2 linked regions of the Mytilus edulis genome follow. The protein of the gene in region 1 purifies or fractionates together with the protein of each later gene. This does not show direct contact. Links are inferred from orthologs where the notes say so. Each region holds a gene or a part of one and is shown in the gene's direction. Other genes may lie near its edges.

Evidence for each region. Proteins that work in one complex are often made in the same cells at the same time.
Region 2: the proteins of PHD finger protein 14-like (region 1) and high mobility group protein 20A-like purify together in Homo sapiens (affinity purification with mass spectrometry; 3 studies listed by BioGRID and IntAct, counting the BioPlex papers as one, with this or other methods). This does not show direct contact. The link is inferred for Mytilus edulis from reciprocal best matches to the Homo sapiens genes PHF14 and HMG20A.

The regions. Positions count from the first base shown.
Region 1 is NC_092345.1:55,177,976-55,185,865, reverse strand, and holds the start of PHD finger protein 14-like, read left to right. Parts: upstream 1-4,789; 5' UTR 4,790-4,895; coding exon 4,896-4,956; intron 4,957-7,890. Other genes in the region: uncharacterized protein, read right to left, coding at 4,102-4,218. UniProt on the Homo sapiens protein: Histone-binding protein. Binds preferentially to unmodified histone H3 but can also bind to a lesser extent to histone H3 trimethylated at 'Lys-9' (H3K9me3) as well as to histone H3 monomethylated at 'Lys-27' (H3K27ac) and trimethylated at 'Lys-27' (H3K27me3).
Region 2 is NC_092345.1:104,507,660-104,515,245, reverse strand, and holds the start of high mobility group protein 20A-like, read left to right. Parts: upstream 1-4,478; 5' UTR 4,479-4,627; intron 4,628-7,586. UniProt on the Homo sapiens protein: Plays a role in neuronal differentiation as chromatin-associated protein. Acts as inhibitor of HMG20B. Overcomes the repressive effects of the neuronal silencer REST and induces the activation of neuronal-specific genes.

The DNA.
Region 1 (7,890 bases):
AATAATAGAACCATGCGGTCTAACTGATAACCCGAAAAACGTAATTAAGCATCATTCATGATATATATTTTTTTGTAAACAACTTTACATTTGTGAAATTTGGCTAGTACAGACGAGATCTAACTCTAATAATAATCTCATATAGTTTAGCTTGTTATTATTTCGATTAAAGAACCCCAAAGACTTTTTAGGAATATAGTTTTTGTCTCCATAAAAGACGCTTTATTGTCCTGGTAATTTTTTGGTCTTTGGCTCGTTTTGACATTTTGTAAACATGACTTCAGCGATTTGTTGTTTTGTTCAATGAATTCATGGTACTCTATACTGTTATTCTTGTCACCGTGATGACGTTTTAATAATACAAGAAGTGCAGAGGAAATGCCTGAAATGTCGTCTGATATGGAACGTCTGGAATAAGTATGGTATCGACGAAGACCCAAATTTAATATACAAAAAAAAACCATGAACATGAACAAGGCAACAGTACCAGTTTAAACATTGTAAATAAAGGTTAACTTAATTATTGTTGGGGTTGGAAGAAGTTATTGTATATTCATTGAAATTGAAATTACAAAATCACAGGAACAAAGTACCAACACCTCTTTGCCAAAATATACTGATACTTTTTTTTTTTTTTTTTTTTTACACAAGTCAATTCAAATGGCCCACTCATTTGACAACATGGCCCATTATTTTTTTAAATGGCCCATTGAATTCATTTTTGAGGGGCCCTGGGCCCATAGTAAAAAAAACCTTCCAGATCACTGCACACTGGGGGACCAGAAAAATATGTTGGATTAAGCAGATTGTTCCCAATATTATGATCAAGAGGTGTCATTTGTCTCAAATAGTATTCTTTAAAATCAATATGAGCTCTATCAACCAAATTTAAATAAGTCATTAAGTTGAGAGTTTTCCGGTAATATGAAATTATTTTGTTTTTTTTGTTTTTAACCAGTATTCGCAAGTTTTTAGATGTTTGGCATACCACATATTTATATACACCTTTGAGCGTTCCTGATGAAGGTAAATCCAGAAAAGAGCTTCGGACACGAGAAATTATCAAAAGTGTTGCTTTCAATTTTATATTTCTATTTGTCTGCAATAATACAAAATCATGAACGAACAATCGACTGCGTTTTTTTAGTTTATAATCATTGTGCTGGTTCACAGTAGTGTACTAAACTACCTACGTAGTATAAATACAAGCGGATACCAGTTAATAATATTGTTTTTGAAAAGAAATCTGTAAAAAAAATTGTATGGGGCATCACATATTGTCAGTAAATATAAGAAAATCAAAATTAATAGTGCATATCAATATGTATTAGGTAAATGATGAGTTGAAAACATGAAATGGCACCATCTACAATTTTCAATAACAAAGATGGCGGACAATAAGAAATCATAACAAAATCGAAATTTTTTTATTTTTCTAGCTTATAGTACACCCGGGCATGCAATTTTTATGTTGACGTATGATACTATTGCGGATAAATCAGTTCTGAATTTGGGGAAAACAAGCTTTGTATTTCAATACATATCTGTCGTTTACGTTTGAATAGAGAATTTCTCAAAAATCATGAGGCAACATTGGGGAATTTTACTGAAAATCGAGGGAGACATAAACTTCTCCCGGGAGCTTCTCTAGAGCAGACCTGCCAACTTTTGAAAATCTCCATGTGGGATTTAGCGCTCGACCAGATTTTTAAGGGTTACAATTTTAGCAACTTTTCTGTGTGCATTTTTTCTCTCCTAAAAGTCTTAAGTTCTCTTCTTTTTTCTTTTGGTATAATAATGATGAGCTTGAATGCCCTCATTTTTTTTTATTTGCATGATTCTTGTACTATTAAATTATAAAATTGACAAAATAACTGAAGAATAGAGAAAAATGGCATTAAAAATAAAGGATTCAAAGTAGAGACCCACCCCCCTTTTTCCCCCTCTAAAGACCTTCTTATCTATGAACCTTGAATCAAAAGACCTAAAACTACATGCCCTAAAGTTAGAAGGATGAAGACAGATTTTGATTTACTCTTTATACTTATAGTCTTATAGTCTTATCAGAGAAAATGGATAAAATTTGAGTTATCTTTCTTTGTATTCAGAGGTGCTCTTACTGGCAGAGGCTTATTCAGTAACACAGTAGAAGAGAATACAAAATGGCGTTGATTTTCAAACAGACATTCGTCGTCTGGTTTCAAAAATTAAACGGATTTCAAGATAAACGATGTTTTCTTGAGAGTTCATTACAGTTCTCAACTTTCAATTAATTATGATTTTGTTGTGGAACTACGGCAAAGTTGCAAATTGTGCTGGTATGATATAAAATTGATTAAAATTGAAAGGCTGTTTGACCAAATTTGTGTATACAAATTAATTTTGAGAACTATTACGACCCATTAGGTAATCTGATTACATACAACCAGTAATTATGACACCTGTTGTGACTGTTAATTAGCGTAGGGTCGTTAACTTGTCATAATATGTCCCCAGGTAAAATTATAGATTTTTCAAATTGATTAGAAAGACTTTAACGGTAAACAACAATTTTTTCGGGTAAAGTTGGTGAAAATCGGGATTTTGACTAATTTTACAATCCCGATATCGGGATTCGGGTTGAGGGATAAAAATCGGGATGATACCGCGAAAATCAGGATAGTTGGCAGGTCTGGCTTCTCTAGAGCGAAGTGGGGAGACCTAGAGCGACTTTGTCGCCCACTTCGCCTGGTGTGGTGACCCCTGCATAACTTAAATTACGTCACAAGTAAAATCCCTGACAACACAACCAAAATCGGAAATGACGTTATGTACGGTGTTTCCATTTCTTTTTGTAACAGATTTTGAAGTTACAAAAAAATAATTCATACAGACTTCATACCCTTTCACAGACAGGTAATGCCTGCCTCATATTACATTGCACCTACTGGTCTGATTTGAATCAACATTTGTCTGTCTATATTATGTACACTATCAAAAATGTATGGTTGCTTCCTACCTTGTGATTTTTAAGGGTTCGTATGGATAGTAAACTCAGCAAATTGTAACATACTCACAGGCACTTGTTTCTATCCATACGAAGGTTGACTATCCATATAAATAGAAGAAGGTGGCTAACGAAATTTTTTTTAGGTCACGACAATCTCCGCTTGGGACGCTTTTTCTACCCTTCAACTTAATGCTAAAAATCCCTACCTTATATGAATCGATTCAGTGAATATTTTCCTTTAACACTAAACTAATTTCATAATCCCCACAGTGTTCCTCTTCACGGTAATCTACTCTCAATTCACTAAACCATGTCCAAAAGTTCAACTACCATCTTTCCAATGTATCTACTTCCGGTTAACATCGCAGTAAATTTATTTTGTTTTCATTGACTCAGTTTCTTTCCCCTAATTCTGATACGTTTTTTACCTCCAAAATAAAAGATCGATGAAATTCTTTAGAGTTACCATATACATTCGGAATTCTCTAGTATTATCGAATTCATTCAAATTAGTTTCTGACTTTCTGATTTTTTTAATAACAACAATAAATGTACTTATTTCGGTGAAATTTCATCTTTAAAAATATATTGATAATGAAAATAATAAACTGGTAATTTGACAGAATCATTTCGTTTTTAAAAAGATAGCATTCTGCCCACAACCGGAAGTAGATACATTGGAAAGATGGTAGTTGAACTTTTGGACATGGTTTAGTGAATTGAGAGTAGATTACCGTGAAGAGGAACACTGTGGGGATTATGAAATTAGTTTAGTGTTAAAGGAAAATATTCACTGAATCGATTCATATAAGGTAGGGATTTTTAGCATTAAGTTGAAGGGTAGAAAAAGCGTCCCAAGCGGAGACTGTCGTGACCTAAAAAAAATTTCGTTAGCCACCTTCTTCTATTTATATGGATAGTCGACCTTCGTATGGATAGAAACAAGTGCCTGTGAACATACTCCTGTGTAGTATGTATAGTGTTTATTGTTTTCAGTTCTTTTTTATTTGTTTTAAAGCTTTTATGTTTGCAATTGTTTGTTTGTAGACTATAAATAAAGCTGTATGTCTGTAGTGTAAATACTAGTACAGAACTGAATTTATAGGTCATACCGAATAATGGTGAAGAACCTTCCTCTTGCTTAGGGAATGTATAAAGGTCCCTTTAGTGTAATTTCCCCAGTTTCCTTCTCCAGATACATGTGGATGTCTCGGACCACCACCTCCCATGTTGAGGGCAAAGTGGGATATATATATTCAGAGTTTCTTAAATCGTGAAGAACGACGAGCACCACTAGAGGACACAGGAAGTTGTTTTGAAATCTCTACTCAAGAAGAAAGTAAAGAAAGGTAAGAATATAGTTTTGTCAAAAAAGTGACAAATTTATGATTTCTTTATTGATTTTAAGGATAGGATTGTGATCAGTTTGCAATTTTAAGGTTTTCAGGTGTAAAAACATTTTATTCAAGACTATATCAGTACATTATTTCGGACCAATTACTGTTCGGCCTATCGAACAGAGGAACGAAACAAGAAAACATTTTAATGTTGATTTTGAAAAAATAAATTCCGTGTGTAAAATCTAAACAAACTTAGTCGCGAGTAAATTATGTTATATTATCTCTTGTCTTCATCGGCTGAAAAACGTTGGATTCATTGGTAGCAAGGTCACAGGTGGAAATATTGGAAGTGGGCCGGTACGCAATGAATATGGTACGAAATTGTCTTAGACTTTTCTAAGTCATTAATGTTCTTATTAAAACTGAAAACTGACTTTTGCAAATACAAACTTTAAATACACTGATCACAGTCAATCGAACAGAATTTCGATTGTTTACCGGTTTTCGTTATTTTAAACTTCTTATAGCAAAGTCAAAGAAAGCAAAGACATACAAAAGCAAGGAGCATGGAGGAGACATTATCAGAAGATGTTGACCCAAGTGTCGAATTTCTATACAAAACAATGTGTACGTGCATTGCAGTTGGTTCAAACTGAGACTACTACTACTGTTATAGTACTAGTCTCAGGTTCAAACAATTTGATATTTATGGGGCTAGCTAGGATGAATAAAGAAGGACAGTAGTTTTGAGTAAAAAAATGTCATGTTGAGACGCTTAGCAGCATGATAATTTGTGTATTATAATATGAGAATAAACTAACATAAAGGAAATTAGTCCGAGATTACTCTGACGTCCAACGGCTGTTTTGCCAGACAAGCTGGGGCCATGGGACGTCAGAGCTCGTCCCATATTAAAAAATGGATATTTGCACACCCAAAATAGATACGCTGCTTCGTCGCTTCAGGTGCCGATTGGGGGCCTTGGAATTATATGAATCGGCATCAATCTGTTCATTTTTCATTTATCTCTTCATTTATGTAAGTTTCACCTACCTGCCAACCTTTATTTTTCCATATTTTAACAGTTTTCACAGAGACCCATCGATTTCTGCATTCTGACTTTCACTTTCAAATGGACGTCAAAGTTACGAGAGAGTTCATGGTCTCGAGACTCAAATATGCAAATATTTATATTTTTCACCTCCTTCATAGGAGATCGATGTTTAACATTTAGGAGCCAACCACGATTTTTCACCTCCTTTACAGGAGATCGGTATTAAGCATTTAGTTCCGACCACGGTAACAGTTGGAAGCTCTCGGACACTTAGATAACTTGCATCGTAAATGAACGAGGTTTTACATTATGGTCATTTGCACTGTTTTCTCGTAGTCACGTGGTAATATTTGAAAATGAAAGTCAAAATGCAGAAATCGATGGGTCTCTGTGAAAACTGTTAAAATATGGAAAAATAAAGGTTGGCAGGTAGGTGAAACTTACATAAATGAAGAGATAAATGAAAAATGAACAGATTGATGCCCGATTTATATAATTCCAAGGCCCTCAATCTGCACCTGAAGCGATGAAGCAGCGCATCTATTTTGGGTGGGCAAATATCCACTTTTTGATATGGGACGAGCTCTGACGTCCCACGGCCCCAGCTTGTCTGTCAAAACAGCCGTTGGACGTCAGAGTAATCTCGGACTAAAAGGAAATTGGCAGGATAAAAAAATAAGAAATGCAACACATCAAAGTCATTCTAGGCATCCCTAACACAGGCACTTGTTTCTATCCATTGGAAGACCCACTATCAACGTATATTTACGAGAAGGCAGGGATCTCCATGGCCTGTTTAACGATGGCGCCCCACCATCGTTCAAATGTCTTGCGCCATCGTCAAATGACTCGCGCCATCGTTAAATTGTCTTGCACCATCGTTAAATTGTCTTCCACCATCGTTCAAACCTTCATCGTTTTTTGTAGCCCGACGCCATTTTTATACGACCTTTCGTCGTATATTGCTATCACGTTGGCGTCGGCGTCGTCGTCGTCGTCCGAATACTTTTAGTTTTCGCACTCTAACTTTAGTAAAAGTGAATGGAAATCTATGAAATTTTAACACAAGGTTTATGACCACAAAAGGAAGGTCGGTATTGATTTTGGGAGTTTTGGTCCCAACATTTTAGGAATTAGGGGCCAAAAAGGGCCCAAATAAGCATTTTCTTGGTTTTCGCACTATAACTTTAGTTTAAGTTAATAGAAATCTATGAAATTTTGACACAAGGTTTATGACCACAAAAGAACGGTTGGGATTGATTTTGGGAGTTTTGGTTTCAACAGTTTAGGAATTAGGGGCCAAAAAAAGGCCCAAATAAGCATTATTCTTGGTTTTCGCACAATTACTTTAGTTTAAGTAAATAGAAATCAATGAAATTTAAACACAATGTTAATGACTACAAAAGGAAGGTTGGTATTGATTTTGGGAGTTTAGGTCCCAACAGTTTAGGAATAAGGGGCCAAAAAGGGACCCAAATAAGCATTTTTCTTGGTTTTCGCACCATAACGTTAGTATAAGTAAATAGAAATCTATGAAATTTAAACACAAGGTTTATGACCATAAAAGGAAGGTTGGTATTGATTTTGGGAGTTTTGGTCCCAACAGAATAAGGGGCCACAGGGTCCAAAATTAAACTTTGTTTGATTTCATCAAAATTGAATAATTTGGGTTCTTTGATATGCCGAATCTAACTGTCATGACTGTGTATGTAGATTCTTAACTTTTGGTCCCGTTTTCAAATTGGTCTACATTAAGGTCCAAAGGGTCCAAAATTAAACTTAGTTTGATTTTGACAAAAAATGAATCAGTTAGGTTCTTTGATATGCTGAATCTAAAAATGTACTTAGATTCTTGATTATTGGCCCAGTTTTCAAGTTGGTCCAAATCGGGGTCCAAAATTATACTTTGTTTGATTTCATCAAAAATTGAATAAATGGGGTTCTTTGATATACCAAATCTAACTGTGTATGTAGATTCTTCATTTTTGGTCCTGTTTTCAAATTGGTCTACACTAAAGTCCAAAGGGTCCAAAATTAAACTTAGTCTGATTTTAACAAAAATTGAAATCTTGGGGTTCTTTTATATGCTGAATCCAAAAATGTACTTAGATTTTTTATTATGGGCCCAGTTTTCAAGTTGGTCCAAATCAGGATCTAAAATTATTATATTAAGTATTGTGCAATAGCAAGTCTTTTCAATTGCACAGTATTGCGCAATGGCAAGAAATATCTAATTGCACAATATTGTGAAATAGCAATTTTTTTTTTAATTAGAGTTATCTTTCTTTGTCCAGAATAGTAAGAAAGAAATATCTAATTGCAAAATATTGTGCAATAGCAAGATTTTTTTTTAATTGGAGTTATCTTTCTTTGTCCAGAATCAACTTAAATCTTTGTTATATACAATATACAATGTATATTCACTTTTTACTACCAACTGATAAATTAAAATAATCTTTACCATTCAGTGATAACAAGCAGTTTTTTTACATCTTAATATTTTATAA
Region 2 (7,586 bases), about 49 Mb from region 1:
TGGGTTTGTATTCAAATTCTAAAAAAAAATCATTACTTTTTTAAAAGGTATAATAAAGTTCTGATGTTGTCTTTATTATTCCCCTGCTTAGAGAAGCATGATTTAGTGATGTTTTTTTCAGTTGTTTCATTCATTTGCTTGTATGATCATTCATGGATGTGCTCATTACAAATTGTCTGCCATTTTAAGAAGACTCATCTTTAAGGAATGACTGGGTTCCTATTAATCCAGCAAGTATCTTATATTTTATTCATCCAATTGTCTTCCTGTATTTAAAAGATACTTTATAAAATTATATGTCTATTAATTTCAATTAGTTTATTCCTATCTGAAACTGTTTCTGACAAAAAAGAAAACATGATATAAGTATGTTGACCACACATCTTTGTTCTGACTTTCTTGAAATATACACTGTTCTTACCATGCTTAAGTTTTATATTTTGATGGTGAAGTCAAGTTTGCACGAAAAATATATGTCTTTAGATATTTTCTGTCTATAATATTGTTTTATTTATTATAGAATGTGTGTATCTGATAGCCTTATGTCATCAATAAAATTCTGTGTCATGGTTCAATTTGTTATTGGATGTCCGTCCATAAAATACTTATTTATTTTTTAATATGTATAATGATAGAATGTTTAACAAAGAAATTGTTATAGCCCTTGATTGTCTTTTATATTAAACCCCACTCAATTTGCAATCACCTTGTTCCTCTGTTTGACCAGAAAATATGTTTGATATGTCTGTACAATGACTACATAATTATTGGAATTGGTAAACATAACAAACTGTTCAATTTGAAAGACATGTTTTTCCACAGAGCTTTCGATATGCATTATCAAGGCATATCATTGGTTCTTGGCACAGCTGTTTGTTTGGATGTGTTAGACACACCCTTTTTGTTGACCTATATTCAATGTGATAAATGAATTAAAATATTTTGTCATACATTTCTTTGTTGAGCAACAGGCATTTCTCATTTGCTTATTGTATCTGTCAGAAAACTATCTGCTTGTTCTTTTTTGATACTCTGAACTACAATAGGAGTATAGCTAGCACAACAAGATTTGCAACCTTTTGTTTATTTTTTTTAGTTTAATGTTTGTACTTGAAATCTGTTACATTTGTGACAGAGTGACTGCCCATGATTATATGTATTTCTTAACTTAGGTTATATATATGATGTTTTATATTTATATATATTTGTATATTTTGATTACTGCTGAACAACATACTGCTGAATAATCTTAATATGACCTTGGTTAACTCGAGGGCTAAAAGTTATCCATGTGTATTTAAATTTACAAAACAAAGAGCAAGGGGATCATATCAAAATGCTTTAAATGAAATATACTATGTTTTCCTCAAAAAGTGAAAATCTATATGCATTGATTTTATAATTTTCATTATCACTATTTTGGGAGTATGGTATTCAGGCTTGCTTTGATGTCTTTTTAGATGTGTTTTGCAGAGTTACAGGTCTTTTATTGTCAAGAAATTAGAAAATATTTTATTTTCGTTAATACCAGCTTTCTTAAATTAAAAAAAAAAATGGAATCGTCCTGGATACAGGATTATGTTGTTTTCTAAAATTCTCGTTAATGTCAATCTCAAAATCCATATAACTGTTAGTACCACAGATATGATTTTATGCTATTAATTTAACATTTTGTGTATTGTAATTGTGAACTTCAGTTGTAGTGCTTTAAACAAATGTGTATTAATCTTTCTGTTTTTGTGCCAATAATACTTATCAAACATGTTAAAAACATTCTCTTATAATTCAACTTGTAGAAAATTGGTTAAACCTTAAATATGTTGTCTGACCCGAAGTGATATTATATTGTAAACAATATTACTGAAAGACTAATAAATGTGATATTTTATTTCTATAATATTTATTTGATTTATTGCTTTAAATGATTAAAGAATTATTTTAATGAATTATTTACAATAAATGATATTTTAAGATAAATTTGACTTTGTTTAAATCAATTTGTATAACAGCTACAAAAGTAAAGATGAAATAAGCTCACAGTATAATTGCAAAGATGAAAAGAAACCAATTAAAAAAGATCAGTTAAAGAAGAAACATTACTACACGGACAATACCATAGCCAGTAGAAAAAAGACAAAAACACTAGAGTGGGGGGCCCATATTCGCCGGGGACACAATTTCACCGTTTTATGATTTTGAGGTGTTAACACTTCACATGATGGCTGAAATGGAAGAATTATGCCGATAAATTATAATTTTATAACAAATATGATTATTTTTTAAACTTAAACAAAATTACAACACTTACTGCAAAAGATAGAAAAACAGACAACGATTTTCGGTCAATTTCCTGAATGAAAAACAGGATTTTCAAAGATTTTTTTCTTAGCATTTTTTTGACTGATTGGCCTAAATTTCTGTTTTTTTACACCTTTGAAATGTCTGCTGTTCATCTATAATGAAATTTATATGATGAATATTATATAAAGCTGCAGTTTTTTGGTTTTAAATAGATGTGTAAAAACGGCGAATATGTGTCCCCCATTGACAAAACTTCAGGAAATTTCAAACACCTTTTAATCTAACTTTACAGATGATTATTTTCAAACAAACATGTTTTCAAGCTTAGGAATGTTTTGCATTTGAAGTTATCTTCATATAGAAATATCAGTATACTTCAAAAACATATAGACCTGAACATAAACTGTAGAAAACATCGAAAGATATGGCGAAAATGAGCACCCCACTCTATCATAAACAAAACTTTACACAGAAACATAAATAACATTATAGGCAGTAAAAGCTAGACAAATACACAGTCAGCCATAAGAATTCATTACAACAAATTGCTTTTGGTATTCATAAAGGTTTTAAAGACATTACTTCACCATTATCTTTAAAACATCTTTTACATTTCTCTATACGCATTAACTCTTTATCAACAAATGTCACTTTCACTATATACAATAACCTTACATCAATTATAAAGCTATTAAGTTCATAAATTGTCCTTAATTTTTTTTTAAGCTTAATACATATTTTCTTATGACAAAGACTGTAAAGAGGCTGTTGTTGATCATTAATTTTGTCTGGTGTTGCTGATAAACAACTTGCCAATTTGTAGTTTGAAGCAAAATAAAAATATTATGTAGTCTTTCAAAAGTAAATTTTTGTCTTGGCATTTGAAAAAGATCCTGTGTTCCTGTTTATGATGTTGCTGTCCTTTGAGCCTGCCTTCATTATCTAATTACTAATGATTAAGAGCATGGCATAGCGTAACGACACCAGTCTATTGAAAATAGGAAGGTAGCTAGGGGGATTTAAGAGGGCAGGTGGCCTGGCCCCCTTATGGAGGTTCATGATTATATAATAAATGTATAAACCTTTTCAAAATTATCACTCCATACATTGGCTTTGTAAGCCTGCTCTTCCTTTTTCAAAATCCAAAATCCACCCCTGGTAGCAAACATTTGAATTTTCTGTAAGCAAATATTTCAATTTTTATGAGATGTTTAAAAACTTTATTCATTAAAATTTACTGGACTAATACATAACAGTATATTTGGGTGAAATGCACTAATTTTTCAAAGAATATTGGATCGACACATTAAAAGGGCATTGGCTGTCAATTTCAAGTTCACGAATTTGACTGAAAATCTCATATTCTTTTTAACATTCTTAAACATATATCCAATTTATGAAAAGTCTAAAATAAACAATTTACAAGGCATGGGCTCAATAATATGTACCATAGTTTTGTTTGTATTTTAGTCTAGAGGCCATCTAACTATTGAAGACCTTTGAAGACATATAAGCAATATAAACATATATTTAGATATAAATAGAAAGTGAACTCGTCACAATTGGATTTTTGTATGTCTGTTTAATTTCACATTGAAGTTTAAGAAAATGTGTTAATCATAATTTTTACCTGTATAAAAATGAGTTTTGGGGGATGGAATCAGTCAAACAAATAGTTTACCTTAGTTTCACTTTCAATGTTGACATTCTTTTCCTTTTTATAACTAACATGCATAATTCATAGTGATCCATCTCTTTCTATGGTGTTAATTGATGGTCACACAAATCTGAGACTTCTATAACACATAGTAGTCTCAGCATGAATACAAATACAATGAGCTCGAATTTTTCACTTGCAAGTGAATAACTCATCATGATGTTTCTTAGTTTATTTTTACCAAATTGAACCATACTGAGTGATAAAGGCAAATTATTATTTCAAAATTTCACATTGACATAAGTTGGGGGATTTTTTTTTTTATATATGTATACATCTTGCAGCATCTTACTTAAATGCTATCAACTAAATTACCATTTTCAATGCCTCTCATTTGGGGGCGTCATCCTGGACCACTGAAATTCACTTTAGCATCTCTTATATGAAAAAATGTTTTAAAGAAATCATATAATAAAGGAAAAGGGAGATAACATTTTTTTCTAGGCCATTCTTGTGCGTTGCATTTTATAAATTTAAATTGTCATTGGTTGTACCTTTTTCGGGTTGTCTCGGGGTTTACCATAAAATTTTATTCAGAAAGCATTTTGGCCATTGTTTATTTTGTTCCCGTACTTTATTTTTGAACGTAATTTTCTTTATTATAAAAAGGTATGTACTGTTAGAATTTGATATGACATGCATATTTGCGTTGCTCTGAACATGAATGTATGTAACGTGACGGTACCCAAATTGCACCTATTTTGACAGTTTTTTCATCTACGTTTTTTTATGATAAAGACAACAATGTCTATTCTGTGTTTATTTTGTAGCCGTATCCTTCTTTATCAAAAAGGTACACCAATTTGATTTTTATTCCATATGGAAGCATAGAAAAACTGGTCTAAACTGACCTCCAAACCAGCAATGATTCTGAAATGAGGAGTACCCAAATTGCATCCATGCTTTAATTCACATCGTCAAAAGTCTAATAACAGAGCTTTTGTTTAATTTCTTCAAATATTTCGAACAATTGGATATTAGTACCTGCTTAATCTTCATTTTTTTTTAAATGGATACTTGTAACATATTGTATTTGCTCATTTTAAAAAGATGACGTCGCAGTACATTTTGCTTTTTCAGTAAACACTTTATCTGTTGATAAATACTGTGAACGTTTTGGGCATATCTTAAAAGTTTTACCCTTGCTGAAAGATGTGCTTAGTATCAAATCATAAAAATACAAATTGTTTAGTCTCTATGAAATCTTGTAAGATTTCCGCTGCTATTTTTGCTAAATAGGTGCAATTTGGGTACTCGGTGCAATTTGGGTACCGTTACGTTAGGGTTTTACCCTCCTTTTATAATGAACACCACTTACTTGCTGTAAAGAAAAATATTAAACCAAAAAGTAAACCTGTTACCAAACAAAAGTGTCAAAACAAAAAACCACGATGGCCATGTGGTACATGCCTAAAAGCAGTAACCTGGAATCAAAAGGCACTATGCTGCGACAGCTGCGATACTTGGTTTCACATTAACTGTCAGAGTATTCCATCTCACATCTACGAGTGTATGAATGCTAGTAATATTAGCTGGGAATGCACAAATTGTGGAATGCCAAATTTCTCCACTAGCTTATTCAATAACCAATCAAGCATATCATTAAATTCTAGTAGTAACTGGAGTATGAGTGATACATCACTCAATAACAGCCTAGGTGCTCCTCAGGCATCTTCATCGCCTATGGTTAAGACTAAATCAAAACCGAAAGTCAAAACATCACAAAAAGCCACTACTAAAAATCAAAAACCTATCAGGATACTTAACCTAAACTTTCAATCGATACGAAATAAAAAAGAAGATCTCAATCAGTTAATTGATTCATCTAAACCTGATATAATCATAGGCACTGAAACATGGCTAGACAAAAATATATCATCATATGAATTCTTTCCATCAGAACTATTTAATGTCTATAGATCAGACAGACCACCAAAAAAAAATAACCAAAGTCATGGAGGTGTACTTATTGCTATTAATAAAGAACTTATAAGCACAGAAGTAAGCGAACTTAAAACTGACTGTGAAATAGTTTGGTCTCAAATAAACATGACTGGTAGTAAGAACTTGTTAATAGGTGCATATTACAGACCACCATCAGATAAAGGAACATCTTTACAACAACTAGAACTATCACTTAGTAGAATCAACCAATCATCAAATACTAATATCATGATTGGTGGTGACTTTAACCTAGGTCATATTGACTGGTCTATACCTCAGGTCATACCGGGTAAACCGGACGCTGAACATCATAATAAACTTTTAGAATTACTAGAAAATTTTAACCTTCAACGAATAGTTAATACACCAACTAGAAAAGAAAGAATATTAGACTTAATCCTAGTTAACAATCCAACAACTGTTAACAAAGTAAACACACTTCCACCACTAGGACTAAGTGACCATGACATCGTCTACATAGAAATTGACACTTGGCTTCGTAAAATCAGACAACAACCTAGAAAAATACTCAAATACGACAAAGCGAACTGGGAAAACATAGAAGCAGACCTTCAAAAAACACTCGAAGAGCTTACTGTTATGAATAACAACAACAACAGTACTATAAACGAAATGTGGGATTTATTTAAAAACAACATCACAAAATCAATAGATACAAACATCCCACATAAAATGTTAACATATAAACACCGACTTCCCTGGGTGCACAACACACTCAGAAAAATGATAAATAAAAAGAATAAATTGTACTCTAAAATGAAAAAGGACAAAAAGCATATACTTAAATATAAAAAACTTAAACAACAAGTCCAACAAGAACAGAGACGTGCCTATTGTACATACATAGAAAAAATGATCCTTGACCTTCCAACAAATGACCCTGACCAAAGTTACAGCAACCAATCAAAACCGAAAAAACTCTTTTCTTACATTAAATCCATCAGAACTGACAATAGTGGAGTTGCTCCCCTGAAAAAAGAGGGACAATTAACAACTGATACAAAACAAAAAGCCAACATTTTAAATGAGCAATTCCAATCAGTCTTTACCACCGAAACAGCAAGTAATATGCCTGATAAAGGACCAAGTCCTCATCCAGTCATTCCATCACTCACAATTACAACACCTGGCATACAAAAACTCTTAAACAACATCAATCCGCACAAAGCCACTGGCCCAGATAACATCAGCGGCAGAGTTCTAAAACAACTTCAAAACATAACGGCACCTATCCTCACCATTATTTTCCAGAAATCGCTTACATCTGGCTGTATACCATCTGACTGGAAACATGCAAATGTCGCACCAGCATACAAAAAAGGTGAAAAATACAACGCAGTTAACTACAGACCAATCTCTCTCACTTGTATCAGTTGCAAACTAATGGAACATGTCATAACAAAACATTTAATTAATCACTTAGAAAAAAACAATTTATTATACGACCTCCAGCACGGCTTCAGACACTCTAGATCATGTGAAACACAACTTCTATCTTTTATACAAGAACTGGCTTCAAATTCAGACAATAACACCCAAACAGACCTTGTAATTATGGACTTTGCCAAAGCCTTTGACAAAGTCCCACATCAAAGACTCTTAT